Linked DNA regions of Oreochromis niloticus. The protein of the gene in region 1 binds, or shares a complex with, the protein of each later gene. Links are inferred from orthologs where the notes say so. Each region holds a gene or a part of one and is shown on either strand. Other genes may lie near its edges.

Region 1 (17,203 bases):
TCAATCTATGTTTATAGTAGTCACAAATAATCTTCTTATGGCCTCTGACAGTAAATTCAGCTTAAATTATATATCTATAGATTCCGTTTATTACTTCTAGGCTGACTTATTGTAATTTATTATTATCAGGATGTCCTAAAAACTCCCCCAAAAGCCTTCAGTTGTTCCAAAATGCTGCAGCGAGAGTACAGACAGGAACTAAACAGAGAGCCAAATCAATGAAGGAACCAATGAACAGAAGCCATATTGAATTCTCTTCATTGGCTCCTTGTTAAACACAGAATTTAATTTAAAATCCTCTCCCTCACATATAATATCTTAAATAATCATGCCCCATCTTATCTTAAAGACCTTATCATGCAGTATCACCCCAAGAAACCACTTAACTCTTGAGCTGCAGGCTTACTTCTACTCCTAAGACCCTTAGCGTACTTAAAAGTAGAATGGTAGGCAGAACCTTCTGCTTCCAGGCACCTCTCCGGTGAACCAGCTCCCAGTTTGGATTCAGGAGACAAATACCCTTCCTACTTTTAATATCAGGCTTAAAATTTTCCTTTTGGATAAAGCTTATAGATAGGTCTGTATCAGGTGACTCTGAAACCTTCCTTAGTTACGCTGCAATAGGGCTCGGCCTCTTGTAGCTTCCACAGATGAGCTGAGCGTTTCTTCTTCACCTGTTTCTTTTCACTCTATATGTGTTTATGCACCACTTTTTATTTATTACTAAACTCTCATCCTCACCACCTCCTCCGGCTCATCTAGGGGGACACTGAGGAATTCTCAAGCCAGTCAAAAGTTAGAATGTGTCCTGGTCGGCCACAGAATGGAGGTGTCCTGGAAACATCTTGGTCAAAAACCCTTACTGATTGTTTCCTTTCAATGTGAAGGAGTAGTGGCTCTATTCTTAGTCCCTCCTGAATAACTGAGCTTCTCATCCTATTACTAAGATTGAGCAAAGCCACCCTCATTTCAGCTACTTGTTTTGATTTTGATTTGATTTTGAATTCCCACACTTCATGGTCATAGGTGAAGGTAGGAACATAGTTAAACCGTCAAATCTACTGTAATGCCTACATGCTTAGCTTTCTCTTCAGCACAACACATCAGCACACCATCCACATCACTGCAGACACTGCACCACTTTATCTGTCAGTCTCCTGCTACAGTTTCTTAAAATATGTTAACTCCTCCTCAAAAAGCACTCATCAGTGAGTCAGCCCTGAAAAAGGTGGAGTGCAGTGTGCACTCTATTCTTTTTCACCCGAGAGCCATGGCCTCGGACTCGGAAGTGCTAATTCTCATTCCTTGCATTTCACACTCAGCTGTGAACCACCCCTGAGTGAGCTGGAGGTCAATGCCCAATGAAACCAAAGGAACCGTATCTTCTACAAAAAGCAGAGATAAGACTGATGTGGAGACGCTCCATCACCTGGATATGCACAGAATTTCTGTCCATAGAAATTAATATTATACTGATCCTGATGAGGAGCTGAGGATGAGCTCATAGAGGTGAGTGATTACAAAAATGGAAAAAAATCATTTAAAAAAATCCAAAACTATGCTACTGCCTAAATAATTGTAGTAGCAAATATGTGAGCCACTGCTTTCCCATTTCATTTTTCAGTGGTCATAAGTAGCCCTGCAAAAAATAACCCAAAGAAAATTCATGGCTTTGGTTTTCCTCCTGATCTGATTCACCAGCTGCAACATATCACAAAGCATAATAAAATAACAGAGACGGGGAGGGTGATTTACGAAGTTCATTACGTTTATTGTCACCAGTCCATGCTAAAAAATCAGCCAATTCTGGTCCCAGGCCAGTCAATCAGTGCATTTCTACAAAACAAAAACCTGTTTATGGGGTTTGTGAGCGATGGCTGAGTGAGTGGTGGATGCAAAAATAAAAGGCTCTTTCAGTGGTGCCATCTTCTTTTTTATTCCCGTTTTCTTCAGAGCAGTGGGTTGGTGTACCCTATTTACTGCATTTGGACAAAATAAAAAAAAAACAAAGCTAAGAAAATGAATTGAAGTTGTGGAAAAATACATGTAGAATTTATTTAGAATCTCCATCTTAAAGATAATAAAAACTAAAAACTGAGGAAACAGCTTTGCACCAGGCTTTTCCCCATTTCAATAGCGCCCCTGTCAATATACCTACTATGGCCTGCTCAATAAAACAACCTAATATAAAATTACTCGAGAGGCACTAAAACTCATGTCTGCATAGTCAGAAGCACCTCCCACTTCAGGAAATTAAATACTGAGCACAAAATTAACTTACAGCAGCGCTCAGTCCCTCATTTAAAAGACAACAATAAGGAAACAGTGGGAAAACAAATTTAATTTAATTAAGAGAGTGGGCCTGCTTTACAATTGCTTACAATCAAAACATCCTTCAAACATCAGACAAAACTCCCCCTGACATCCCCCCAGGACCATGACGATAAAAAGAGTCCTAAAGGACCGGCACCTGGTTTGGGATTTGCTGGATTCAAACTAGACTGGAGCCGAGGTGAGGTAAGAAATAAATAAACTACAAACAACAGATCAAAAACAAATCCTAGAACTATTATTTAGTTTAGCTGCAACACAGCAAGGTTACAAGAACTGAGTGTTGTGTTGAGGATTCGCAGGCTTCCCTTTGATGAGGTTAAAAAACATTAACCTGAACTGTGAATTCTTTGTGATTCTTTTTATATAAGTATTTAGAATGAGAACAAATGATCCAGTTGACAGCCCAATTAAGTTTTTTTTTAAATCAAAATTAACATAACTACCACTATAATGCTGTGATGCCTGGGAGCTATAAAAAGGACTGAATGGACATTATACCATAGATTTATAAATATCAGCATAATCCAACCAGCTGATAATGTTTGTCCTGAAAACTCCCAGTAACCTACTTGCAGAAACTCACAGGTAGATAATAAGTGCATAGAAGCTGCACAAAGATAATGAGGGGCTTTTTTAGCAAGACAGAATCACTCAGGTGGAACTGACAAACAATGTACTGCTAAAAGCTATTAAATATTGGACAAGAGTTGATCAGAAAAACACAATACTTCCTTGTTTCAGTTGGATAGCCTGTTCTTACTGTGTACGATTATAGAGTTGACTTGTTGCAGGCTCTGTGTGGTAAGTTTAGTTCAAACAGTTTCTACTGTTGTTATAGCCAAACCTAAACTGTTGTGTAGGAACAAAAGACCTTTAGATGATTTAAGATAATAAATAATTTTTATATTAACAGTTTCAAATCACCTTGAAAATACTTTTTATCTCCATTTTCTATTAAAAGGCCTGTAATCTTGTGATTTGATTAGGAGAGTATGCAGGACTGCTTTTTTTGAAGAGCTTGTGATCAATTATTCTTAAACAAAAAAGACTTATAAATGCCAAATAGTCCTGTAAAATTTAACGTGCATGTTTAAATTCTTGTTTGAACTTTCACCAAGCATTTACTGATCAGAGCATCACACAGAAGATAGCACTGTTTCACAGGACATTTGCTGCTCTACTTTTTACATAACAGTATGATTTATTATACAAGTACACAGCATTGTGTGGTTCAAGTTAGTGTATAAAATATGCTGATTGATTTTCCAAAGGAGGTTATCTCTTTAGTAAGTGAGTCAGATCTGAGATGTTGGCACACACACACACAGAGAAAAAAGAATGAACCTACTGTAGGTCCAGAGATGAACCTATTGCAGTTGAGGAAATAATTAGTAATTTTAGAAGGTATGCTAAATAGCCAATGGATTGGGACACTGAATGGTGCTTTTCTACTGTTACTGTGCACTCGTTCACCCAGTCACACAGCGCTATTTATACAGCACTTTCATTCTTTGTCTAACATTTACACACACACTCATACTGCAGTGGATCAGCATAAGGGGAACCTTGGGTTTCAGCATCTTGCCCAAGGATGCTTCAACATGCAGACTACAGGATCCGGGGATTGAATCCCCGACCTTCCGATTAGTAGACGATTCACTCTACCTCCCACAGCCACCCCTGCTGCTGCCTGTGGGTGTCTGCCACAGCAGCAGATGTGCATGCCTACTTCAAAGATTTCTCCTCTCAGTGCAGTCATAATAAGTTTAAGTTTATCACTAAAGGCAAAAAAAAGCCTGCATCTGCTTCTGATATATGCTTCTGGCTGATGGCAAATAATATACCCGCTGCCCTTTATAGGGCACATCACCGAAAAATGAAGACAAGTAGTGTTTAAAAGAAAATCTAATCTATAAAAATGTGTTTTCAGCACACATTTAAAAGCAGACTATTGATTTGGTTGACCTAATGAGTGAGGAAGTGCCATTCCAAAGTTTATGCACTAAATGTTCAAAAGCTTCGTCATCTGTGGATTTAAAGAAAAAGCATGGACCAGTTAAGACCAACTGAAGGCAGACTGAGGAGGACTGAGGGGTTCACATGAAAAAATTGTTACAATGAAATAAATTGGAGATGATTAAAGTGTGATTAATTGGCTGTATCACTAGTCACATAGTCTACACTCACTTGACGCTTTGCTAGGTAGACCTTGGTAGCTTTGGAGTTGGAAAGAACTGTTTTATTTCTTCATGGCATAGATTCAACAAGGTGCTGGAAGCATTTCTTGGAGATTTTGATCCATATTGACATGGTAGCATTAAAGTTACTGGAAATTCTTTGGCCTCACATCCATGATGTGAAGCTCTCCTTCTACCTTATCCCTGCTGGACTGAGCTCGGGTGACTGTGGAGGCCATTTGAGTACAGTGAGCTCACTGTCATGTTTAAGAAACCAGTTTGAGTGGGATTTGAGCTTTGTGGCAATGTGCTTTATCCTGCTGGAAGCAGCCATTAAAAGATGGGTATACTGAGGTCATAACAATGCTCAGGTAAGCTGTGGTGTTTAAACTATACTCATTTGGTACTAAGGGGCCCAAAGTGTGTCACGATAATATCCCTCGCACAATTACACCACCAGTAGCCTGATCCAGTGATTCAAGACAGGATCATGTTGTTTCATGTTGCTCATGCTAAATTCTCACCATCTGAATGCTGAAGCAGAAATTATGACTCATCAGAGCAGGCAACATTTTTCCAGTCTTCTATTGTCTAATCTAGGTGAGCCTGTGTGAATCACAGCCTCAGTTTCCCGTTCCTTGCTGACAGGAGTGGCGCCCAGTGTGGTATTCAGCTGCTGTAGCCCAGCACCAGAATACAAGGTTTGAGATCTTATGTGTTTAGCGATCCAGTTCAGTATACCTTGGTTCTAAAGAATTTGAGTTTATGTTACCTTTCTATCATCCCAAGGCATTCTGCTCATTTTCCTCTGACCTCTGATGGTTTTCTGCCCAGTAGATCAGCAGTTTCTGAAATATTCAAACCAGTCCTTCTGGCAAAAACAACCATGTGTCACATTCAAAGCCACTTAAATTACCCTTCTTCCCCATTCTGAAGCTCGGTTTGAACTTCAGTAGGTCTTCTTGACCGTGTCAACATGCTTAAATGCACTGAGTTGCTGCCATATGATTGCCTCATTGGATTGTTGTGTTAACAAGAAGTTGAGCAGGGTAATTAGCCCTAATGTTTCCAGTGATCTAATAAGAATCCCCTCCCCCCCCCATTATCAGTTGGAATTTTAGTTAATGTTGCAGTGCCTTTGACGTAAAATTGGGATGGCACAGGATGGTGGCTTCCTGTAGCAGAATCTTAGTTAAATCCCTATCAACTGAATTTTTGGGCAACTTGAGCGTCTTGAACACAAGGTGTAAACACTGTGTCCAAGGTTTAAAAAAATAATAATGTTGCAAACATTTTAGCAAAAGGCTTCTTGTAGTTACACATCCGTCACATACAGAGCAGATTTATTTGTGGTTTCTCATTACTTTTTACTCCATGTTCAGTGTCTGCCAACTCTCTGAGGGAAATATCTGATGCTTTAGCTCAGGGGTCGGCAACCCGCGGCTCCGGAGCCGCATGCGGCTCTTTAGTCCTTATTTTGCGGCTCCGGGTGGTTTGGGAAAATAGAAGAAGTATTTCGCTGAAGTGTACTTTATTTGTGTTTAGTTCTTTTTTTTAACTTGTAGTTCTAAATTGGAAGATTATTGTGATTTTGAAATATAAAAATAAAATTATATCTTATTATTTTTTTCATCGCTCAAAATAAGCGTCACACTCGCGGAAACGCCGTGCATTTATCGAGACTTTCAACCCCAGATAGCCCAATTATGGATCTTCGGATCCACATTATGTCGGCAGATGTTCTCCACCGTGAACTATGTTAAAAACAAACACTGCTCCCGCCTCACAGATGACAGCTTACAGTCCTGCGTAAAGATGAAAGCCCCGATTTGCAGACGCTGTGCGCCGAGGTTTGGGACCAGAAGTCTCATTGTAAACATATCACAGCAGACCCGACGATGTTTGCATGAACATGCTTTTCAGCATCTCTTTATTGACCACTTTTCACACACGGTCCAAGTGGCTCTTTGGGTGTTAAAGGTTGCAGACCCCTGCTTTAGCTGCTTAATGTTATGCTCGCCAGGTGGTCGCTAACATCGTCTGTGAACAGTGAAGTTATAAGATCTTCAAATCACTCCTTTCATACAGGCAGCGATTTGATGAATCAAAATTTCTACTTACAGCAGCAGGAAAGGTATGTTAAAGAGGATTACACTGAAAGACCCTCTACGAAAAGGAAGACTAAAGTTTTAAATTGAGTATCTACTGTACAAGGTGTGCCTGAATCCATTACAGCAGCAAGGCCATTTACTATGAGAACAAATACTTTCAGCTCTAGCAAAAAATCCACTGGATTCCTTTTCCCTTATAGGGAAAAAAATGCAACCATAAATGCTGATTTTATAAAATCTCACTCTTCACTTCTGTCTAAGGAAGAAATTCTCCAGGCAGGGGTGACACCTCTATTGTCACTTCCTGCTGTTCATAGCAAGTAAAACTACAGCAAGCATCAAGAGAAAACAGCACACAGAGCAGGAAACAAAGAAAGAGAAGCTGCGATGATTTAAAAGATTCGCGCTGTGCTTACTCATCTAACACTGACAGTTATAATGAGAACCTGTCATCTCTGGCTTTGAAACTCATGGCCATACTGATTAAACACACAGGGACCCCTCCAATGTCCTCGACTGCTCTGTTCAGCAAAGAAATGCAAATTTTACTCATAAACAAAATGACTAATTTGTTTCTTAAATGACTTCTGTGTCATTTATGAAGTATTTACTAAAACATTGATTACATCAGCAACCAGGTATTATTAGTAAATCAGTACTATAAAGCACATATTTTTGTAATCTGAGCTTTAAAAAGCAAATGATAACCCTGCTTATTTCACTTAACATGTTTAATATGAAACTGTTGAACATTAGATTGTGAATAGCTGGCCTGTCTGATTTCTGGAATCGTAACTTATCCACTCATGTATCATTTTCAGTCGGTCTGTTCATTCTATTGTGAGACTGAAAACATAAAAGTGGAAGTAGACTCTGCGCAAGGGTGGAAAGCTGTTTTCTGAAAGCATCTACAAAATTCTCTTGGACAGCATTTACAGTGGCCCATTTCAAAATGTCATCCACTGTCTGGGGAGTGGGTGTTGCATTAAGGATAATGAAGATGGCAAGAGGGTGAATGCTGTCTTCCTCGCTGAAATACCATACAAATTATTAGACTGGTACAAGCTGCCTAAAATGACAGATAATGTGGCACACCTTCAGCCTTCCAAGCTGGAGTGCAATTCTGCAGTGCACAGCTGCATCTATGTCAGGGGCCCTTTTCCTTGTTACCAAAAAAAGTCTAAAAATAGCTAGTGGGATCCCTGAGATGAGATACAGAACACAAACCTGCACAAAGACAGCTTTCAAAGTTGAAACAGATCAAAGTGCAAGCCGCAAAAGAGCAGGTTATTTTAGTGACTGTGACAATAGAGCTTCAGTAGAGCATAACTAAGACTCCCACACTGACACAAAGAAGGAGGTTCTCAAATATGTGGTAGCAGCCCGATAAGAAATTTCACAATAAAAAACACAGAGCTACAGGTCAGTCTGGCTTCTCTTTGTTAAATAGTAAAACTGCCCCTGCTGTTAAACCATTGAGAAAATACACCAGCAACAAAGCAGTCCAATAATGGAATTTCGCAGGCAATAGGTCTGCAAAACTTGCAAGTTACGCACATGCACGGTGTGAAATGATTTATTTGTGCTCGATGTATCTTCAAAGAAATCGGAAGGTTACCGATTTTCCAAAATTAACCTCACTTTCCTGCACTGATTGACGGGCTCTCCTCCTCATTGATGCTTCCACATCAGCAGAGGCGCGACTGCGATTAGTGAACATCACAGAGGGGGGGGAATGCGCTTCTTTAGTTATTGATCGCTCTTCATTCAGATTTTTCTCATACTTCTAGTAATATTTGCGCTGATATTATGGAGAGGTGGGGAAAAAAAGTTGTTCGAAGTGTACTTTTGCTTTATGATTTTTGCAAGTTGTTAAGATGAACGGAGGGAGAGAAAAATGAATGCATTTAAAGGTACGACTCACCAAGCGAGTTCCCAATGAGTGAAACGAAGAATACAATAATGTAAGCCACAATGAGAACCCATTCATACTGCTTGGGGTGTAAATACTCTCTCCAAATGTATCTCAGAAGTTCCTCGTCATCATCCAAGGTGGGATGCACATGTAACTCCGTGCTGTTGGGTAAATGTCCAGAAGATAAGCACTCCTCGCAGTCCACGTTCCCAGTGATGCCAGACATGCTTCCAGGTGTCTTGTGTGGCGGATGAACTGCAGCTGTTGCTGGTGCGTCTGCAGTGACCGCAGGTTGTTTGAGCACACTGCAAACGCGATTCTAAACGCGCTCCGCACGGACCACTCGTCAGAATGACGCTGGTCTCCCCTCTGTCTCCATTCAAAGCCACTGCAGGGTCAAACACCAACACAGCACATTGTAGCGAGCAACGAGCTCTGAGCTTCAACCCGAATGCCCACCCCCATAAAAATGTAGAGAAAGGGGGTGTTCGGGCATTTATGCGGGGAGGGACATGGTGGATGAACAAGATGTTAGAAATGAATGGGGTGATTTAACATGCAGTAGCGTAATCTGCTTTTAATTCTGTGCGAAACTCAATTACAAGCATATAAAGGAGGGCACAGTGGACGGATGACTTGAGACCAATTCACTGACACGGTTAACCCCCTTAATCCAACGGTGCACTTCTTTTAAACTAACTGGTTTAACTGGCTCCTGTAGTGCTTGAGCAAATTGTTGTGACTGTGTGAAGATAATGACTGAATTGTAAGACAAGACTCAGACTGTGTACCAATTTATCAGGGAATTGTTTTTGAATTCTTATTTAAAAAACCACCACCAACAACAATATAAACTGCTGTTGTTATGTCATTAAGACTCCTTATTTGTACATATTTAGTCTTATTTCTCTTTGTCACAAGCTGTGAACAGCTCTAGTGTGAACAAATCATAAATCTGAACATCATCTCAGCATCTCAGGGGTGTTTTTGTGAGCATATGCTGCATACTGTCATTGGGTTTGTTTAGGCAGCAGTTCTGAGCAAAATATGCTGTTATGATGACGGTATGGAAATCATGATTCCATTCAAAATGAATAGGCCAGATTAAATCTGCAAGGCAGTGAGAGCACAACTGCACGAACTCCTGCTGAGAAGTTAAAAATGAATTAAATGGTACATTTGAATTAAAGATGTGAGTATCATGGTGGAGCAGTGCTTAACACGGCTGCCTTACAGGAAGCTCCAGTACCCTTGATGACATAAGGTTCTTATAAAAGCCTCAGCATCTTCTATATGTCTTTTTTTTTTTTTTAAATTAAACCCTCTTCCTCATGGTTTATGTTGGCATCATAATACATTTGAATCCAGGATTACGTTTTGTAAAATGTGCTTTATGTATGTATGTGTGCATGTATGCACGTATACATTCTATTGGACTACTGCCTGTGAAGCAAACTGTCCCATGGGGACATTGTTACACGACTCTACCCACTACTGAGTTCTGGTTGGCTCCTTGCATCATCTCCCTGTCCCTGTTTTGTTTCCCTGTCAGAGTGATCAGTTTTTTTTCTTGCAGTTTAAATATATCTAAGATTAACTGAAATTTTGCTCTAAGTGGGTGTGAATATAAACGGTTATCTGTCTGTCTGTTAGCCATGTGAACCAGCAGCCTGTCCATTTTATATGCTTCTTAGCCAGTGTCAGCTGAGATTCTCGGTGGATGTGAAAATTTCAATTTCAGTTCAGCCATCCACTGTGGTGTAAAATCATTAGTGTCCAGTTATTTTAGGTCCCTCAATGTACCTCAAAAGTGCCATTGATTGAGGTACTGCTAATAATTTTATGAATGTGTTATTGACATTATTTTGAAGGTGGCACGTGAAATAATTAATTTTAAATTGTTGTTGCAGTCAATGTTATTGCTAAAACCTTTTAGGAGACATCGGTCTATTCAGCAACACGAGTCATCTATATTTTTTTTGTAGCAAATTGATTTATATTTATGTTTCTACCCCAGTCATTGTCATTGTCCATTAGCTTTTCCAGAGAGCATCCAGGTATTGACTTTTCTGACTGTGATTTTATTATTAAGGCACAGCAGGGTTTTTTTCTTTACGCTGAAATTTGCCTTGTTTATTGCATTGTGTGACTGTCTCTTGTATGTCAGAGAAGACTCGTGTTACATATGCCTCATTAGTCGTTTTTACTGCATTAATGTGACACAAAGTGGAGATTTATCAAAGAGTTTTTTGTTTAGTGCAGCCATGAACTGAGTCATTACAACTATGCTTCCTTATCCTGAAGGTCAGACACTTATGTGTCCTTTCTCAAGACTTCACTCTTGATAACATAAAGTAAAGCAAAAAGAACATGTTCAAGAACAAGAGGAAGGACAAACATACAAGTGCTCAGCTATAATCATTAGAAGTGGTAGACTAGTTGTCACCCCACACCATGTTTCCTGTCTTAATGCTAGACTAACTGACTGCTCACTATAGCTTACACCTGTTTAGCTGCTTGTTAACAACACTATCTAATGAGCCAATCACATGGCAGCAACTCAGTGCACTTAGGCACATAGACATGTGTGGCAGGGGTGTGGTCTCTTGCCTGCAGCAGAGGAGGGGTGGTACAGTGAGCTCTCGGGGCGGCGTCAAGGTGACAGAGGACAGAGGTGTATGTGCAGGTGACTGTTGACGCACGCTCTCTCTCCCCCATATCGGAGACGCGTGGGAGAGCGAGTGTGAGTGGAGTAGCTGCAGAAGGAGCTGCTTCCTGAGTCACTTCTATCTATGTGTTGTAATGCAAAAGAAACGGCTGAACAAGCAAAATAAACATTTCCCAAGCAATGGGTTTGTCAATCCTGTGTGTGTCGGGTCTTTTGCTACAACATGCTTAAGATGAGATGTTGAGGTTCAAACTGAGCATCAGATTCAAGGGACTTGAATGTGGGGTAGTTGTTGGTGCCACACATGCTGGTCTGAGTTTTTCAGAAACTGTTGGTTTTCAGGATTTTCCCTCAAAACCATTTCAAGGGTTTTAAAGAAAAAAGAGAAAATAGCCGATGAGCAGTAGTTCTCTGGGTGAAAATGCCTTGCTGATTCCAGAGGTGTCTTCTCTTATGAAATCTGCGCCATTAAGAAAAGCAAATGAGTGTATTTCTGAAAATACCAAACTGTTTTAAGACTTACCTCCTGGTATATTTTAACAGCATGTTTGCCCCTGCTTTGTATAAAGCTAGGCTAATTGCTTGTTGGACATGACCTTGGATTTAGCATACGCACATTAAAGTGATCTACATTTCTCAAAATGTTGAGAGGTGTGTTGGCCTACTGTGAGGTCAATTTATTATAGCTGCTAATGTGCATAATTTGTTTATTGTGACAAAATGGGCAAAGTATCAGTGTCACACCAATTTGCAGACCCTTTCATGTTTATCTTCCACTTTAATGCAATTATGGAGATGTGATGGCTGATACCCAAAGAATAATATAGAGGAAAAACATCTGATCCATAATAAACTCTCAGAAAAAAAAATAGCAGCTGCTTGCTACAACTGTGTGGCACTGCAGGAGTACCCTGTGATGTAAAAAACAAAAAACAAAAAACCCAGCTCATTCAAATTATACATATATATATGTATATATGTATATATATATATATATATATATATATATATATATGTATATATATATATATATATATATATATATACATATATATATATATATATATATATATATATTTCACAATATTCATTTGTTAACCTGGAAATTGACTTTTGTAGTCTTTTTCTCCACTCACAGCTAACAATCAGCAATTAACCTACATGTCCTTGGACCTTTGAAGGAGAAAACCTGGAGAAAATGTTGCAGGCACAGAGAGAACAAAGGCTGCAGACATCTTCAGACCCAGTTCTTTCTTGATGTGAGGTGGCAGTGCTCTGCTCCTTTAAATACATATATATAAGACAGATGGAGAATGACAGTTGTTTTTCATTTAATGTCAATAATCCATAAAACCTTAAACGAAAATATGTATTTGGCCTAAAATCTTTTGCATTTAGCCAAAAACAAGCAGTTTTTTCATATTGCATCTTAAAATCTGGAAGCCCAAGATTAGCCCCAGGGGGTGCATTCAAAAAGATTGTAACCATAAAACCAGAAATAGACTTTTACTGTTTCCAAATTTCTGAGCGTGTATGCTATGCATTCCACATAAAAGTTCAGAAATAACTCCTGGGGTTCATGTCACTTTGAGTGGGTGTCAAGGTCTATAACAGGGGAATACCACGCACTTTTTCAAAGCTGCCTTTTTCTATTAAATTAATGCTATATGTTTCAGGTGTCATCAGTGAAAGTAGATTGTTTTCTCTGAGCCCAATTTACTCTCAGAACATAGAAGCAGAACTCATTATTTTAGGAACCAAGCCTCCAGCAAAACAATGTCAAACACAATGGAGGTAAGCTTCTCTTCAGTGGGCTCACCTAAGACTGTAGACAAAATGATGATATTTGCACTCAAATATAAGAAGATTATTTGCAGTAATGAGTAGGCAGCAGCTATGAAATCATGAGTCTGATCCATTAATTTTGTGTCATGTAGGAGTGAGCTGCTGTCAAAGTCGGCTTTCATTTTCATGTTTGAGAGTAATAGATCAATCTTTTGTTTGTATCGATCAGCTCAGCTAGGTTTTTGTCTTCATTTAGACACCTGACAACACTGAGCTGTTTAAAAAATCACCAGTCTTTTATTCTTGCAATATGTGCAATATGAAACAAACTATCTGTATCATTTGTTATTCTATTTATATACTGTATATAAAAATGCTTTATATGTATACTGGAGAGAGTGTACATATATATATTGGCAGATTATTGAAAAAAACAGCTACAAGCACCTTGGTATTCCAAAGTCTAATGGGAACAATGATGAAGCTGCAAAAGGTCAGCCATAGCCAGTTACTCCCACAGAGTGAAATGGGAGCTGAAAAGTCAAATCAACAGCATGAATAAGATTTAAGCAATCAATACATAGGCCTCACTGGTCATCAGATACCCAGCTGGAATAGCAAGAGGCCAAAGGAGGAAATCAATGCCATGGATGTCAAAACATGAAAGTTCCTCACAATGCAGATGTTTGCATGGATGTTTCCACCTCATGGCTCTGAGCCACAAAAAGTGGAAAAGGGGGACTAGTGGGTGTCAGAGCTATGAGAATACATTAGGGAGATGGCCCCTTTGAGATGAGGTGCTACAAGAGTGCCTCAGGCAGCTGAAGACAGATGGTGATAAGAAACAAAAGGAGGAAGTGTGGTGCAAGACCAAGACCCTGCATTTAATGTGCTATTGACAGACGGAGGAAGTGGCTGACATTGAGAAATACTCCCAAATGCTCGAAAAGGCTGACCAAAAGGACAGGAAAGATGTTTTGATCATGCAAGCACAAGATCCTAAGCACCAAATCCACAGGGGTAGGAATCTACCATAGCCATCAGGACTCAGGTTGAAGGCAGTACAAAAATGTGCCCTGGATACAGTCCAGCTCATAGTAGCAGGATGCAAGAAGCAAGATGGGACAGCGTACACAGAGATGCACAACTAAGCAGCTGGGATAGTATACAGAAACATCCGTGCCACATATGGATTAGAAGGCTCCAATTCCAGATGGGAGACAACAGCTAAGGTGATTGAAAACAAAGAGGCTAAGGTGCTGTGGGACCTTAACTTCCAGACAGACATGCAGCTCCTGGCCAACCAACCAAACACAGTGGTGGCTGACAAGCAGCAGAAGACTGCAGTGGTTATAGATGTGGGAATCCTGGCTGACAGCAAATCAGCCACACATCAGAGAAATTCCTTTTGATTTTCCATCAGCTGGGATTGCCGCATTTATCACATCATAAAGAAGAAGCACGAGAAAACTGAGCAGTACCAGGGGATGAAAGATGTCAAAGGTAAAATCAATAGCAGTAACAGGAATATTAGAAGTTGTAACCCCCAAACCAGCAGAATCCAGGCACAACATCAAATTATAATAGTGAAAAAATGTTCTTTTTGCTTAAAAAGCTGATATGAGCAATTGTGAAATGGCACATCTTTCAATACAAACACATGTGAAACATGTAAAATACTGCTCAGTGATCATGTGTAGTTTCTTTAGTCCTGATGCATTTAAGTGCTTTAAACATTCATTGCTTCTTGTTGCCAGCAGGAGGCTTCTCAGTTTGTAAAGACATCTAGGCGCTACTGCTCACTCTCTATTTGGTTTCAGCAAACACTTTCCAAATGAGATATTGGTCTCAATCTCTAGTTAAAGGCCTTGTTTAATGAAACGTTTTGGTAACGAGTACCTAATGTTAAACCTCACACACTGTATTGTAAAATGGGTGTAAAGTATCAGTCGAGTCAGTTTAAACAAAAATATTTCTAAGGTTCTCTTTTTTATTCTTGCCATGTTTTTTGAGTTTATATGTTGGTTGTTGCTCACCAAATATGTGACTGAAGCTCACGCTCATAAAATTTATAACACCCAGGATCTATACTCATTCAGTATTGAAATTGAGCTCTTGCTAAAGTATCCTAACTGTAAAGAAATAAAAAATGAATCAGATATTCTGCCTTTGGTGCTCCGCTAATCAGATAAAGTCCAGCGTTAAATAATAATCACAACTAAGCAGCATGTTATCCAATTTTTTGTTAAAATGCCAACCTCAGGCTCTGAATCCCAATTCAGTTAACCAAAAATCCCTAATGTGCAATACAATAATCCACGGCAGCCTGTTCTTTAATTGAAAATACAGAATCTAAGCGCTTTTTTTATTTATATGACCTTAAATGTTTCTGATTTTTGTTATTATCTCAACATTTATCGAATAGTATGGAGTGAAAATACATTACAACGTATCTCCCTGCAGAGATATTAAAAACGATCCATAATCAGGATTCCAGTAAATACTGAGAAATGACATCAATGCAGAACTCATCGTCTGTTGTTTTTTTAAAAAAAAAATTCCCCCCTTTGTCATGATTTGCAGGTTTGGTTGGTTCTGATTATATCTGCCAAATCCCTTTCGCAACATTCAACTTTCTATGCATGTATGAGCATGTCTCAACGTCTGGGTACTCTTAGGGAAGAGATGGCAGAGATTAAAATTTAGACCCGTATTGGATTTTTCTGGGTGGATGTAAATTTTAGATTTACTACAATTTCTGCTAAACTGACTCTAAGCTCTTTTGTTCTTGAATGGTTCTTAGAATTATAAATGTAATTTTATACAGTATATCTTAGTGGGCTTTGACTAAACTCATTTCAGCAGGACCTTTATTCCTGTTGTGTTACTCTTAGTTATGCATTACCATTTTATATTACCTTGCCTGCTTTTCTCATTAATGTCTCCACCTCATATAATGGCTGTGGGTGCAATAAATCCCCACTGTTGCTGATTAATGGCCGATATATGACACAGCCTATAGTCTCATTCAGTATGAACTGACAACTAAATACCACACACAGACTGTATATAAAGAATGGACAGAGGCTGGGGGTTTAAAAAGCTAAAGCTGCATTTCTTCTAGGAAGTGATGATTGCAAAAAAACATTAAGAGAAAATTACCCTACTTCTCACATAACTCATGACTTCAATAATTACTTTGATGACTATTCTTCTTTTTTTGTCTCAGTTCTTTGTTCCATGTGACATTTACTAAATCATGAAACTCATTTAGTAAATTGTTGTGCTTTTAAGCGGAAAACAGACAGTAAAGGAGGGGTCAACCTTGTGACTTTCGTTTTTTCTTGACTTCAGGTTCACACCTTAAAAAACATCTTAAAAAACAAGATGGAAATGGCCAAAAGTTTTAAAATGGGAGACAGAAACCCATGACTGACACCATGGTAGCTGCAGCCATCTTTTGCATAAAGTCTGTGGAATGATAATAAAAATATTTTACTATAATTATAATATAATGATAATAGATGTATGTCTGTACATGTATGTCACCCTTTTTCCTCCTTAATTGCAGGGTGAATCCGAACGACACTTTGCAGGAATATTGTCCCAAATATTACATCTGTTCCTGTATTCATCAGCGCCCCACTGAAACAAAGGGATTGGCCATCTCTTGGATTTATGTAAGCATCTTGCGTGTATTCAACACAATTGCCTAATGCTTTAAAGTTAAGTGTAACTATATAGTGTAGAAACTACATGATATGCAGAGAGGGTATATTAAATTGTTCATATCATGTTCGAGTGAAGTAAGTCAATAATATAGCAATGTTAAATCTCGCGACACCGCACATGATTTCATCTCGCACACTTTGGATCGTGGTTTGAGGAAGGCATCCATCTCAGTCAAGTCAAACAGCCGCCTCTACTTTCTTCGGTATACCGATAAAAAGATATTGGGTGGTTGTTACATTTAAAAAAGTCTAACTTGTAACTCGCCTCTCAGCAAGAAGGTCCTGGGTTCAAATCCACAATCTGGCTAGTTTGCAGTGGGTTCTCTCTGGGTATTCTGATTTCCTCCCACAGTTAAAAGTCATGCAGTTATTAGAGCTAAGTTAATTGGTGATTCTAAAGTACCCGTGAATGTGAATGCAAATGGTTGTTTGTCTCTACACTGAAAAAAAGGCCATGTTGGATTTACTTGATTCAATAGTGG
Region 2 (15,663 bases), on another chromosome or scaffold:
GACTGTACCTTTATTATGAAGGTGATATACTTGGTGATCAGATGATATAAATACTTAAATACACACGTCCTGATTGCGGGAGAAAGATTCTAAGCAGAGATGCCTAGACCTCCCTCTTCTTGGCCACATCCTTTAACCCTTCTTTCGGGACACCAAAGTGTTCCTTAACCACCTGAGAGATAAAATGTCTCCAGCATGTCATGGGTCTACTCCGGGCCTTCATCCCATTGGGACATGCCCAAAACACCTGACCTAAGAAGCGCCCAGGAGAATGTGGAGAAGTACATACTCTGAGCCCCTCCCCAATGAGAGATAAGCTGAGCACCTTATCCTGTCTCTAAGGCTGAGCCCACACATCCAGGCATTCAGAGGAAAGTCATTTCTGTCACTTATATCCACCATCTCATTATTTCGTTCACTACCCACAGCCTGTGGCCATAGGTGAGCGTAGGTGGACCAGTAAATCAACAGCTTCGCTTTCCCGCTTTGCTCTCTCTTCACCACAACATACCAGTACAGCATCTGCATTGCTGCAGATGTTGCAAGAGTATTTCTGTTAATCTTCTGCTCTCCCCTCACTCATTAACAAGACCCTGAAGTACTCCGACCTAAAATCGAAGGTGCTGATTGTCATTTCTCACACTCCCCGGTGCAAGCTGGAGGTCATGACTCAGTGAAGCTAACAGAACCACATCTGCAAAAAGAAGAGGAAAGATTGGGAGACCACCAATACTGACATCATCTACCCCTTAGCTGTGTCTAGAAATTCTGTTCATAAAAGATTTTAACAGAATTGGTGCCAAAGGGCAGCCCAGTGAACTCAGTACTCACAGGGAATGAGTCTGACTTGTTGCCTCAGAGCGAATCAAGCTCTCACTGCAGTTGAACAGAAACCAAATGGGCTGAAGCTGAAGCAATCCTGAAGCACGCCTCACATTATACTTTGAGAAATGCAGTCGAGTGCTTTCTCCAAATTCCCAAAATGTATGTAGACTCATTGAGCAAACTTGAATGCATTGTTCTTCCTGGATCCAAGGTTCGACTAACAGATGAACTCTCCTCTCTGGTAACCTGGCATAGACCTTCCCAGGGTGTCATGGATTGGCTGTGTGGGAGCAAGGGTGGAACTTTATGCAGGACTCAGGGGAAATGGGAATAACTCCAAAAAACTGCTTTAATGCTGTCAGGCAAAGAGTAAACAAAAGCCAAAAATGTACGCAGAAGAGAGCCAGGAATTCCAAATACCAGAAATGACGGAGCAAGGGAACAAACAGCAGTGAGGGACAATATGACAAAGGACAAGGAGAGACAGAGGCAACATATACTCACAAAATAATGAGGGAGAGGTAGCACGTGAGAACACAGGTGAGGATAACTTAACATAATAACTCAAAAGGAAGTAAAACTGAACACCAAGCACAAGAGACAAAAGACTACCACAGTAAAAATGGGAAGTAGCAAAACACAAAGACTAAACAAGACATGGAAACACAAGGGAGGCAGGAACTCAAGGATTTAAATATAAACCAAAGTATAACCATAAACAGAACTAGAAGTGAAAATGAAGCCAGATAAAATTGGTGCAAAGGAACCAACCAGGAAATGCAAAAACTCAGAACAAGTAATTCTCAAAACCAATAGAACAGTAATTTATAGAAAACTCAAAACCCAGGGACTCTGAGAAAGGGAGGCTGAGGAGTGAAGTTAGAGCACACCCTCCTGCCCCCCTTCTTGAAAAGGGGGCACCAGCTGTATTTCTTGGCACCTCTATGTATTCCACGTCTGGTGGCGAGGTGTTCAGGCATCTGGCTTGAATATAGCCATGCATCATGCCATATTAAGGCAGGTCCAGGAACAGGTGCAAGCTTACTATATGAGTTAAAGACCTGCTGCCTCTCTGCCAGCCCTACCATGTGTATTTATTGATGTTCTCTTCCTTGCAAAGGTTTTCGCTATGATGAACCACTGTTTCAGTCAGCACTGTGTATTTTATTGCCAGTAGAAAAGATGAAGAACTCTCCCTCCCTTTATCTTCCTTGGATTTAACCAGTTTTTCTCCCAGCTCATCAGCAGCTGGAATATCCCATGTTCTGCTTCATGGCATTGTGTTGGGCTTTCCAGTGTGTATGAATAGAGATAAATTAATGAAACACTGAGCTGACTGTCATGCATTCCCCACTCAGAGCATTTCCTATCTTTTTATTCATTATTTCTTTTCATCAGATCCTGTTTGAAGGTTCTGTTTGATTTTATTATTTACTTACCTTTCTGTCTCTCTGCCTGAAGCCACTGTATGTTTTTGAAGCAGAAGAGGTGCTGCAGTACTTGTTACAAAGGCAAAAACCCTCTCTGCTCTTTACTCTACTGAGGTGTGTGTGTGTGATATGTTTGCATTTGTTTGGCTACTCAGAAGAGATATATTATTCCCTAAGTCCTCCTTAGGACCCGACTCTCCCTGTCTCTCTCTCTCAACGTAAAATTCAATCTCTTCAGAGTGTGCTACAGGGCCACATTTTTATTAGCTCAAATTTCACATAGTTTAAGTGACACTAAGGAACAGCAACATCAAGACTGTTAGGGGAAGGGAAAGCTTCATAATGCCAAATTAAATGCTTCAAGAGCTGTATTGCCTCCTCTAGCTAATTTGCTAAATTCATGACTTACTCCGCTCCCTGCCATCCTAACTCCTCGTGTCCTGTGAACACAAACTTCCTTGGCTCCTCTCTGAGCCCATTAACTACAACAGATTACGAGATCAAATCAGTCCTAATCCCTGTTAGCAGAACTTTCAGGCTCTGAAACAGATATTCTGCATTGGTTGTACATCACCATCAAGTTTGGAAATTATAGCGCATCTGTGCTGGTTCAGCCTGGTATGCCCTGAAAACTGGTGATTGTGTCATTTTGTTTTTATTTTTAATTTTAATTTTTTTTTTATCTTGACTTCATAAAGTCAACATAGTCTCATTTTTCTTCTTACAAAATGAGAGGCCTCTATACCCCTTGCATGTTTCTGTGCTTCAAGGATGCACTCTGAAGATGATAACACAAACCGTTTGTCAAATGGGAACAATGTAGCTACATTACAAAACCAAGATGGCATCTCATACTTTCCCAGCACAAATTTGGGGTGTTTTGTTGAATATTAAAACAAAACAAAACAAAAAACCCTAACAAAACAGTGTTTCGATATTATACGGCTCTGGTACTTGCTGACAGTACAGTAAGTCTCCTACTCTCCACCAGTTCAACTAAAGAATGTTCCTGAAAAGAGGTTTGTTGCAGTACCTGCCACCTGGAAATGTTCAAAGACTAAAGAAGGAATGACTTGAGGTGACGGGCTTCTTGTGAATTGTAGTGTATTATGTTTCATCATTGTTTTTGCAGTAAATCGAAGCTGAAGAACCATAAGGTCACTTGTCAGGGACAGACTGACAAGCAGGCTGAGCCTTAGGTTTAGGAGGAGTTTGCTCTTAAAGCCCGGGGGATTAGTTACGGTCTGCCTGGGCTAAATGAAGCAGGAAGCACTGATAGATTAATTAGAGTTTAGCCTGCTTCATATGACCTCAGTTTAGACAGCCATAGCAACACAACACACTGCATGCTAAAATCCAACTGTAGTGCTCCAACTTGGTTGTGGGTACAAGAACAAACAATAAAATCTACTAAAAGATGGTTATATTACAGTATGTCATTGGATTTTATAATGTCTGTGAATTTATATGCATAACAGATCTGGACTAATATGCATTAATGCATTTATGGCAGAGTTTTGTACACTGCAAGACACTTTACCTAAAACTTCTCAGCGGGCATATTTTGTTTCATGGTGATTTTTGCAAAATTGCAAAATGTAGTTATTTTCCTTGGTCTGCATACATGAGGTTATTTACTCTTGTATGAAATTTCTTCTACTAAACATTGTAAAACAAATACTCCAATGTAGACTATGCCTAAAAGTGTTTTTTGCATTGTATTTTTTCCACTTTAATATGTTTTGCTTTTATTTACATGGCACGCCTGCCTGTGTGTTTGTCCAGGTTTGGACTTCCATGAGGACCTGCATCGCATTGGAGCAAAGGAGGGTCTGAAAGGACGTAAACTGCAGAAGGCTATGGAGAGCTACGCTTGGAACATCACTGTGCTGAAGGTTAGTGAACCCCTCCTACAACACAGCAACAAGCCTAATAATTAATCTAAACCCCCCATTTGTATAAAGTACAGCTATTAAAAGTGATTAATGTGCATTTGAGATTACTTTGGGGACTGTACCCAACTGGACAAGCAATCTGAGACCATGTTGCTGAGATTAAATAACATAATGTCTTAAGAAAGCTCACTGGGCTAATTGTATTTCCCTCTTCTCTAATCCCTAAACCTCTTAATTAATTACTGTTGAGTCCAAGTACCATTTTATTTATTTGGTCGTGTAACTATCTTGACAAGACACGATAGGATTGTTCGCGCTTGTTTATAGACACACATATGCTGCTCTGTTATTCCTCATAAGGAGACACTGGATCCCCTAGACATGCCTTGATGATGATGCATTCTTGTCTTTGCCTGCCCCTTGACACAGGAGATAAGGCTGCTCAATGCTCTCATCTCATTTCCTCTACGACTGCTGCCGGTAATAGCAACGCTAAAATAACGCCACATGCTAAGTACAGACAGAGTGGCTTGAGCATTAGGATAGATAGATGTCTTCTCCTTTTCATGCCAGTCTTGCCAGATGGAAAACAACAAAAAGGGGGTTGCATTGCTGTTAGGGTTAAAATGATGTCCTCCACCCATCTATGGTGCAATTTACGCCCTTGCTTCCTTTAGCTAGACCAGCTGTCCAGAATCTATCCCAGCACTAACCACATTCACACACCTTATTTTTCCGATCGCAGTCTCCCCCCCGTTTCGTCTGTTCTCCTGTGATGAGCCACCCTTTCAACAACAAGGTGGCACACACATAACTCCTTCTTGTCCTCTTCCCATTCTTCAGTTGTAATCTGCGTCTCATAGTGAACATTTGGTGAGAGCTTGGTGCTTGTTTGCCAAGGCTGGCAGCCGTACCCAGTTATTATTTCACCTGTCAGCCTCTCCAGATTCTCAGCAGGCCAGGAAGTACTCGCTAGTCGTTAGAGATGGAAGTGTGGGACGCTGAGAGGAAAGGCGAGGGAAGAGTCATGTCCTATCTGTTTGTCAGTGTTCGTCTCTAGCTCCATCTCCACCCTTACTTTGACAGTTTCGGTCAGTTCGGGGCTGTCACGGTGAATGAGGGTATTTGCCCATTTCTGCCACTTATTGTTCCAGTTAGTCAAGAAAGAAGAAAAATCAAAGAGACAGAAAGAGATCCTTTGAAGCAAATGTCAGCCACATTGCTGTCCTTTTTAGAAGAATAACAGGGATTGAAAAAAGATGTCTCCCAAATCGCTCATGTTTGTACTTTCTAGTGTTATAATCTGTTTTCTTGGGCAGTTACATATAATTAAATAACCTCCTCTTAAATTCACTCAGATTTTGGCCTCTTCAGTCTTTTCTGTGTGAAGCCAATGTAACTCTAACCCTTTTATATGTGATTAAATCAAATTCTCGCAGATGTCTTGTTGTTATGGTTAATCCTTAATATAAGAACTGACTCAATCTATATGTTCCAATGATGCTTATACTCTGCTGTCTCTTCTAACTTCCCATGGATGTCTATAAATGTAAAATAATACCTAGAGGCAGGTTATCGACTACTCAATTTCTCTCAAAGGAGTGGTCCGTTTCTGATAAACAAAAAGGACACTGGTTTAGAATTTAATGAGGATATAGTTGTGGGATTTAGTAGCTGTCCTTACATGAGCTTAGCCCCCTGCGGACAACGTTAGGCCAGCTGTAGGGGTGAATGCATTCAAAGACAAGTGTAGCCGTTATTTGACTCAGGCAGCACAGGATAAGCTTCTTGCTGCCTTATTTTATGCCTGGTGAGTCATGACTTACATAATTTCTTTTTTTTCCTCCTTCTTCTTCTTTTTTTATTCCAAACATATGACATGCTCATACTCCCGGTTTGCGTGCTGTATTGGTTGAGCTAAAATGCCACTTGCAGTGTATTAACATCACCAACGAGTAGATCGCAGGCCATCGTCTGCAGGGCATCACCTTTAGTCTTACCCCAGTATGTCATACCGCTGTACCTGCCTTGTGGCACTAAGAACTTTATCCCTTTCGCCGTTTATATTTTAGTCTGGTCCACAACAGGTCAGACTGTGTCTCTTCACAAGGAGGTTAGCCCAGCAAGCTGTCGCAGCAGGTCAGGCAGACCGAAGTTCAGTGCGAGGGAGGTAAAATATGCAGATTCGCAGATAAAAGGAAAATTGCTTTCAACTTTCTTGTGAGCAGATGTTGAAGTGGACATGCTGGAGGAATCTGGCGAGAGTAAACCCTGAGGGTCGAGAAATTAGATTGTTCAAGTGGAGGGAGTTTGTCTGAAGCGTGTGGTCTTTCTCCCTTTTTTTTCATCTCCTTTGGACAGTTCTAATAATATAAGCACCTCTTACACACAGAAATAACTGCCTGTGGAGAAAACTCCACCACATTTCCACATGGCAGAGACAGCTAGCTTAAGGAGGGAGGCAGCCATGGCAGTGGCCCAGATTGACTTGACAGTGCCGTAGCGCAGGATGCCTGCCCTGACCACTTCCTCCACATATGGCAGGGTTTCATCTCTGGGGTGTTCAAATAAAGAGCAGAAATGTAGTATAACATTGCCACCATATGCCAGCAGTACTTGCAAGCTGAGAGGAACAGTACAAAGGGCTGGCAAGAAACCAAAGGCCTTTGTTCATTGGCTTCATACTGCCCCCTTCTGCATCTTTTTGAGTAATACATTAACAATAAGCAATAATATAAGCACCTTTACTTTCTTCTCACTAAAAAGTCATGCAGATAGTGGTCGTTTAGAGATTAAAATCTGTTTTCTAAAAAACAAAGAAGAGGGATAAAAGGAAATTGCATTGATGGTGTTATTTAAAATAGAGTTAGTATAAGTAGCCTTTAGGGAATGCTGTTTGAATGCATTTAAATTTTATATAGTTCAGTGATATTAACAAATGTTTCTTTCTGCCTCTTCTTCTGTGTCTAATTCTTAGGGCCAGGCTGACCTGCTAAAGCACGCAAAGAGTGAGGCACTGGACACTCTGCGTCAGATCCACTGTGCAGCTCAGTCCTGTGGCCTCAGTAAAAATGGAGCAGCTTCCCCACAGCTTCAGCACCATCCTCACCACCAGCCGCAGCAGACACAGCAGCAGCCTCAGGCCAAGACCCACCCAACGCCTCCACTGCTGTGCCAACCCCAAAATCAGCTCCAGTCTCAGACCGCACCTCAGGCTTATCTGCACCCGCATCCCCAGCAATATCCCCAGCTGCATCCCCAGCTATCGGCTCCTCCTCTGGCCCCACCTGTTCCAAAACCACCTGCCTACCCTCAACCGCCACCGCTACCCCAGCACCAGTTTCAGTTCCAAAACCAGCAGCAGAGGGCAGCAGTACCTCTCGACACCATCCCCGAGAAAGAAAAAGAGACTGTCAGTGACAGTCCTGCGGGATCCTGCTGACCCGCTGCCTGTGCCCACAGAGAATCCGTCCCAAAGAGAGACAGTGAGACAGAGAAGCAGAAAGGTGTAGAAAGAAAGCAAGAGGTCAGTAAAGAAAGAGAGATGGAAGAAGTTGCTGAGAAATTAAAAGAGATGATGATGAGGAGGAAGCCTCGTCGTGTTAGAAGCGAGACGCAAGTTTGAGAGGTGATTTGAGTTGGCCAGAGATATGAAAGAGAAGAGAGATACTACACTTCAGCTAGAAGTGAAAAGCAGAAGGATAACGGCTGAAAACATCAGTGAGTTACATATCCCTGTCTCTCTCTGGGCACTGCTATTTTCAAGCCCCTCCACGATGTACTCTAGCTCTGTGGGTACAGGCTTTACCTCACTTTGGCATTTAATGCCACAAATTTGCCTTTTTTATTTTCAGAGACTCCTTGGCATGTCTTCAAGTGTTTATTTCTTCACATTCACACTTTCCCTCCCACAACTAAGACATACAGGAAACCCTCACTTATTTTGATGATGAAGAGGAGGCCATTTTAATTTAGTGGCACAAAGTAGAGCAGCTCTGCTAGTCTGTAGGGGTCACAAATGGCCATTTCAGCACAAAATAAGCAGCTATAGTGCTAAAATAGAAAAAAAAAATCACCCTGATGTATTATTGCTGGTGTCAGTCTTCATCAGGCCCCTCAGATCTCTAGTGTCATTTCTCTTAGGGTTTAAGTTCTCCGGCATTCTTGGACACTCCCCACACAATCTTTTTGTCTCCTTCCTAGGGGCTACGTATATGATGTTATGTGAGTTGATGTCCTGGTCCCTAGGATGGAGCACGTCCTTAAGTGGCGGAGTTCACCAGTCAGTCACAACTGGAATATTTGACCCCTCCCGTTAGAGGTCAAAGATCATCAGGAACATGATACTGCTGTCTATAAGAATAAAGTGACTATAGATGTAAAATGTATGCAAAGTGTATGAAGGGAACATATATTGCTATAATAATTCTCGGACATTCATGATTGATATTATTATAACTGTTGTTAGTTTTATTGATATTCTAAGTATTTTTTAACATTACTTCCACATACACAGTGATTTGACACCTGTTGTTCTGTGGTGCAGATCAAGCCAACCAGTGCATGTGCCATTGGAATGAAAGGTTTAGGGGTTAGCACCACAACACAACAGTCGAACAATAACCTGACGTGTTTCACTTCAAAGTGAGTGTGGATTCTGTAAGAGATCTCTTAAGTGGCCCATTAAAACTGGCTTCATTGTTTCTCCTGTCTCCTCTTGTTCATTACTATTTAATAATCATTCAAGTAGCTATATGTACAAATGAACTGGGATAAATGGATGTAAATGGATGCTCTTTGCAATTTTATTTAGATTTTTAAACTGATATTTTTTTTTAAAAAAAAGGTTTTTACTGTGCAGGGTTCACACACGGTGCCACTGCTTTTATTTTTTTTAAAGAGACCTAGCCATTTAAAAGCAACAATCAATATAGCTTTACAAAAGTGCACTGTAATGCATAGTCAATTCTCAATCGATCTTAAATGATTCCCTTATTACTAAAATAGATTTAAGCCATTTAGTTTATCATGAATGAGATAGCACTGCTTCCTGTTGTCCATAAGATGGCAACAAACATTAAGTAAATGGTTGTGGGGATAAAAACAATCAAGCGTTCAATATTTGCTTTTAAGAGTTGTTATCTTGTTATTTTTACTGCAAATTTGTCCCTGATTTGTAAAGCAGATCATTTGTGCACAGATGTGCCTGACATGCCTGACACCCTACCGGAAGTCTTTTTCTAGGTCTTTACTTGTGAAGTGCTTTCACTATGAGAGAGAAAAGTCCATGCATCCTCATTAGCATAGCCTTTGAATGAACTTGTCATTAGAGCAGAGAAAGGGCATCCGTTTTTTAAATATATATATATTTGCTAATTGACTTCAGCCCCTCACCAGTCATTGTAATGGTATGTCTTAATAAACCTTTAGCATGCAGCCACAAAAACATACCTGCAGTGCATCAAAGGTCCACTCAGGCGTCTTGGAGATGACCTGGGATAGGCCACTAATTAATGGCAGCGAGCTTTACAGCAAACTTCAAATGAGCAAAGACTAGAAAAAAAGAGAATCAGTGGTTTTGTGCTACGTTTGTCACTGGTCTAAATGACGTCCAGAGGACTGATGGGATGGACGGCACAGGGCAATATAAAAGACACTCATTCGACCCCTGGGACCAGATGACTTCCCTTCAGACAACAGAGCAGATGTTGTGGTTCCCCACTAAGTTCCAAGAAGCTGCTGGGATGGAAATGAATAACAGGGTAAGAAGACAGCTTCATTTTTTTGTTTGTTTGTTTAAAATTTTCATGGTTTTACTTTGCTGATTTTTTTGTTTGTTCTTTTTAATTGCTTTTTCTACATTAGCATCCCTTTGTGCTCTAAAGGTATAAGCAGCCTACTGAAAAACAATTTGGGATATTTGGTATCAGTTATTCAATTCTCAAGTGTAGTGGAGGAATAAATTTAATTTAATGCATTTTACTGTAAATATTTAACACTGACCATTTCCTACTGAATGTGGTTTTATCATGTCACTAAGCTCCAATGATAAATATATATGTACATTTATTATACAGCATCTTCTCTTCTGTAACCCAGGAGTGAGGGGATTAAAATAAATAGAAGAATAGAAATAATTTACCTATGATATACGATAAATAACAAATTATGCCTGGCTATATACATATATGTTCAGGCTTATAAGCTTTATCATTAAATGGGGGCTGTTTGTATTGTATTGTACGTAATGCAATGTTGGTTAAAATTTAAGCTTACCAACATGTTGCATGGGCATGTTGATACTGACTGACTAGTGCTTTGGGTTTATTATCATTGTTTATAATAGATTTAGATGGATAGTATTATTTTATTATAAATTCAGTGATTTATATTTATTATGCATTGGAATTTGTCCATTCAACTTCATATTAATTCACATTTACATGTACTTCATGCACTCTGTATTTTTTGTTATTTATAATCATACCTCTTTAATCCTAAAAATCATATTTTTAATCTAATTTCTTTTAATGACCAGAAAGCCATGGTATTGGTCTTGCTGCTGCTACTGTCTCAGCTGGCCTGTGACGCTCACAGCGTGTCTGAGTGCTGCAGAGAACCGTCTCGTCCCTGCCGCCTTTATGTGTTGCTGTGTCGCTCAGGCAACAAGGGACCGGGTGGAGTCCTCACAGATGATGCGGCCGCTGGGATCCTCACTCTGGGCAAACGAAAAGAGGACGAGTATCGCTTTCAGAGCCGACTCCAACAGCTCCTACAAGGCTCCAGGAACCAAGCAGCAGGGATTCTGACAATGGGGAAGAGAACCAGAGAGAGAGCTGGGGAGCAGTACATGGACTGGATGGCTCAATCTGGAACGACCATTATGACACCCCTGCCTGTTTGAAACTAATCGAGTAAAACCAGGGACGCTGTTTAAATGAAAAAAGTCACACTTTACACCAAATGTATATTTTTTTGCTCAGAAATAATGTGAATTTGAATGTGATGTCCAAATTTTAGGAAAAATGTTCTATATTGTACATAAAAGGGTCTGTGATCTAATAAAAAAGAATCAAAGCTGATCAACTGTTAACTTTCATGACTATATACAAACGTGACAAATACTCAATTTTATATTCTGGAATAAGTTAAGCATTTGATAGACATCACATACAGTAATGATCATTTCTTGGTTGATGGGATGAATACGAGATAAAAAGCACACTGTGGAAGACACCCAGAGATTAAAAATAGATAATAAGATTTATCCACTAGAAAATCACAGATGAATGCCTGAATCCAGCCAAAATATAAAAACAACCTTTGTGTTAGTCTATAAGCACAATCCATCAGCCACACCCAAGGTAAATGGTAAACAGCCACCATGCATGTAGGGTGCTTCAAGGTGTCTTAAATTTAATTTTGCTTCATCTAAGTGTAGTATGGTGAAAAGATATGATCCCTGTAGCTATAGGGAGAATAAAACATAAAGCATAAACTATTTGTTTTAACTGCTTCCTTACCAGGTATTCAAGGCATAGTCTGCTAATTTGAAATATTGGAACAGACACATGCCTCCCTGTAATGCTCACAATCATTGCCAGGCACCTGACTTAAACTCAGTCCGGCTGGTGGCTTTTTAAAGAATTTTTTACATCTGCCAAACTGACACAGATGCATATAAATCTCAAATCTGTCCAACAGAAAGTACCTCTGATTAAAACGAACAAAAACATAACTGTTTGTGATTAAAAATAGAAATTTTCATGGGTATGAATTTATATGCGGAACTAATATAGTGGATTTGTGTGCACAACAGCTTTATGCAACCATATGGAGTCGAGAGGAAATGCTAATAAGTGACGATGAAACATAAAGAACCAGTGAAATCTGTTATTTCGAGGTCAGTTTATGTGTATAGGTTTTTACTGCATCTTCTACAGCAACTATCTGCGTGGGTGTTTGTTGATGCATGGGGACTAAATAAAAAGTGAAATAGAGGTGGTGATACAGACAGCAGCCTGTTAGATTCTTCAAGCACATCAACAAAAAGCCTAGCAGCAAATTGACTGTTATTACACTGAGCCAAAACGTGAATCGCTTGATGCTGTGCTTTATTCAACTTGACCTAGCCTCATGTGTCAAAAGAAGGGCTGATAAAAACACAAAATCTTTCCAGAGATGCCAAAGAAGATATTCAGTTGCTTTCTTCCACAGCAAACAAAACGTGCACACACCTCCCTTTCTGTGTTATTAACGCGGGATCCAGCTGTACCTCAGAAAAATGATTGGTAATTTAAGTGAGAAGTCTAAGCAACAGAAAACCCTCTTCTGCCTCCCATTGTGGAGTTTCACAAAAGATAGAGGTGAGAGTGTGAGAAAGCAAGAGATGGAAGAAAAAGGAAAGTTATTTCTAATAACTTCTCTGGGGAGAAGGCAAGGTTTTATGTGAGAAAGAAAGTGAAGGCAAGAGATATTTCATAAATTCAGTGGCTAGAACGGGGGATGGTTCAAGCTTTTGTATGAGAGAGAGGGAGCGAGAGAGACGGGGAGGGAGGGAGCGAGAGAGACTGGGGACTCAATGGCAAGATTCATGGAGAGTGGAGTTACACTGACTGAAGAGCAGCTGAGACTTTGCTGTGATACTGGAGCAGTGCTGAGCACAGAGCGATGCACAACTGAACCTGAATACTTCTGACTCAGGCTGAGAAAAGCTTTAGAGCTTTAGCACGGCAAACCTCTGAATTTTCCTTCAAAGAAGAAATGGAAAGCTCTGTGATACATTTCAGTAGTTTTATCCACTCAACATAGAATATATAAAACTTCCACTCCACTGAAGAGTTACAAGCAAACTCAAGAAGCAGTGTTGAAAGTCTAATTCGGGTCTTCTGTAGGGAATGGTGACAAACTACTTGAAACTGGGACTCTGCAACCTTTTTTCTGGTGAAAGATGCCTGTAATGAAGGGCCTCCTTGCTCCACAAAATACCTTCTTGGACACCATTGCCAACCACTTTGATGGAACTCGTAAGTATTTTGGGGAGAGGGGATCACTTTGAATTAATACAGGTTTTTTAAAAGAATGCTGATAATGACATTTCTGATGAATATCCATGAATAGTACATCGATTAACCTGCAGACCAAGTATTTGGAATCTGCGACTGATATTGTTGGACAAGTCAAACTGCTAGTGCCCGCAGATTTTGATCAGTATGTGTTCTTCTTAAAATGTGGATTACTTATATTGAAAGAAATGGCACATAATACATTTATATATGAAACATGTTGCCTGCAAACGGTTTGGTATCAATTTTAAAGATGAAGCTTTCCCAGCTTGCGTTTAGGATTTTTGCCTTTGGCATTTCTGTAACCCAATTTAGGACTGTGACAGGCACTGATAAACACTGCTGTCAATCAATATGTCCAACAGTAGTGAGATCCCATTAAATATGTTGGAGCTGAAGAGCCACTTGTTGAGATGCCGTGTTACTTGTTAGAATATTTCCCTGTTGAGAATAATGTCAAGGTCTTTCTCAACAGCAAACAACAAAAAACAGTCAAATCAAATTATTCATGAGCAACATTAAAGTTGTAGAGCTAAAGTCTGGCATCTTTCTTTCAGTTTGAAATCTACCGAAAAAGAAGAAGAAAAAATATATATGAGCTTTTTAAAAAGTTACTGAAAAATCTACTGTTTATTCTAAGACCGACTCAGCACTGTGTTGCTAATTAAATAACTATGTGCAGCAGTTACAGAATGATGCTAATAACTGTGAAAACACTATTGGATTTAAACACTAGACTTTGCTGAATAATTAATCTGATTAAAGACCAGCTCTAATAAAACATATTACTTTTTAGCATTTAATTACAGCCATGAAAGTTTCAAATTAAAATGTAGCTTATGCATCAAGCACTTGAAATGATTTGATTTTTGCTCATTATGCGAAACTAATGCAATGTAAAGCTAATATTTACATGTGCTTGGATTAGTAAGAAAGCACAATTATTTTTCCAGTCTTGTGTAATCTAGCATCAGATGAAGAGGCAGATTAACCGTATCACTCCACACAATTTATAGCACATAGAATATTGTACTTTTTTTCTTCTTGTTCCTGGGTGATAAGTGGCTTTTCTTCCTGCTTGTTATGCTTTAGAAGCAAAGAAATTAAACAATATTTTCAAACTATAACACTTAATACACAGAAACAAAAATCTTATTACCTAGGCATATGGAGCAGATCCACCTGGTTACACCCACACAAACACATATGAACCATACCAGGCATGGAAAGTTACATCTTACATCAAGTATCCAAGCATGTCAGTTTTACTCTACATCAGATTTAGTGCAAAAAAAAAAAAAAGAAATACATCAACAAAATATATATATATTTTCAGAAAACAAGAAAAGTGGTGCACAGGTCAGACGTTACGTTTCTCTCGCCATTGAAAATTCTCCATCTGTTCTCTGAGGTTTTTTGCCCTCACCTTCACATCCGCAGAAAGCAGATATAGAATTGCATTTACACAGATCTGGGCAGCAAACAGTGCCTCTGTATGAGAGTCGTGCGTCGGTGGACTGATCAAGTCACTGAGTAGGATGTAAAAGGATCAACTGACAAGAGATGGCTTCAGCATAATGCCGCAGGAATCCAGGAATAGTCGAAAAATATGTGTTAATTGATTTGAAAGTGTTTCTATGAAAAACTGCTTTTGGATCACATACTGTGAGGGTGACTGAATATAGGCAGTATGATCCTGACATGAGAGGAGAGAGATTAATTTAGATGAATTACAGCATATGCAAGAGACAAAGAGCCAATCAAATATAATTTGAGGTGTGGTTCAGTCAACCTGTGAAAGCAGGAAAACTCTACTTTTTCACCTAGTCACTCACAAATTATACAGGGTACCTATGTTAATGGCCAATTTTAAAGCTTTCAGGATAATAGTCATTAGATATATGTGCATTGTAACCTGTAGAAACAAAAGGACTCTACCAAATATGTTTGTTTTTGTGCTGAAATTGCAGTTTCCTCCTCCCCACATGCTGATGTGGATAGTTAGGAATAATAAATGCATCTGAATCAACAAATGCTTGCATTTTAACAATGTTTTTGCAGTGATTCACATCATTTTGAGGTTTGATGACTGTCAGTGTTAACCATTGACCCACCTGCTATTCAAACCGTTTGTTTGTGAGGGGTGGCTAGTCAAAAGAAAGTCAGAGTAGCTTAAGACACTCAAAAAACGCCTTGTTACATAAAGTGGTTAAACTGTGGGCTTGCACCAGTATAAGATAAATTAAGGTTATCTGAACTGTAAATCATGCACAGCTAGTCCAATAATGCCCCAAAATACAAATGTGGTGCAGGAAATTATCGTAGCAGGTCCCCTTTGAGCAAGTGGGCTTAGTCAAATCTATTAAATGTGTTTTGTAGAAATCAGAGTGAGGGTACTGTTGCAACATTACCATTTTTTTCCTGCACAAATTGCCATGGCAACATAGG

What was found.
Region 2: the proteins of hcrtr2 (region 1) and hcrt are in contact, whole or in part, in a cryo-EM structure (PDB 7L1U), measured with the Homo sapiens proteins. The link is inferred for Oreochromis niloticus from reciprocal best matches to the Homo sapiens genes HCRTR2 and HCRT. Residues at the interface, in NP_001371201.1 of Homo sapiens: Thr111, Val114, Trp120, Pro131, Gln134, Thr135, Val138, Gln187, Val209, Cys210, Asp211, Phe227, Thr231, Ile320, Ser321, Asn324, Lys327, Arg328, Phe333, Ala334, Thr336, Arg339, Val342, Tyr343, Phe346, His350, Tyr354; in NP_001515.1 of Homo sapiens: Asn89, His90, Ala91, Ala92, Gly93, Ile94, Leu95, Thr96, Met97.

The regions. Positions count from the first base shown.
Region 1 is NC_031978.2:19,747,737-19,764,939, reverse strand, and holds the start of hcrtr2 (orexin receptor type 2), read right to left. Parts: upstream 8,974-17,203; 5' UTR 8,764-8,973; coding exon 8,547-8,763; intron 1-8,546. UniProt on the Homo sapiens protein: Nonselective, high-affinity receptor for both orexin-A and orexin-B neuropeptides. Triggers an increase in cytoplasmic Ca(2+) levels in response to orexin-A binding.
Region 2 is NC_031969.2:26,554,768-26,570,430, forward strand, and holds hcrt (hypocretin neuropeptide precursor precursor), read left to right. Parts: upstream 1-9,826; 5' UTR 9,827-9,855; coding exon 9,856-9,912; intron 9,913-10,688; coding exon 10,689-11,054; 3' UTR 11,055-11,232; downstream 11,233-15,663. Other genes in the region: plcl5 (inactive phospholipase C-like protein 2), read left to right, coding at 4,041-4,150, 7,128-7,592; kcnh4a (potassium voltage-gated channel subfamily H member 4a), read left to right, coding at 13,101-13,176. UniProt on the Homo sapiens protein: Neuropeptides that play a significant role in the regulation of food intake and sleep-wakefulness, possibly by coordinating the complex behavioral and physiologic responses of these complementary homeostatic functions.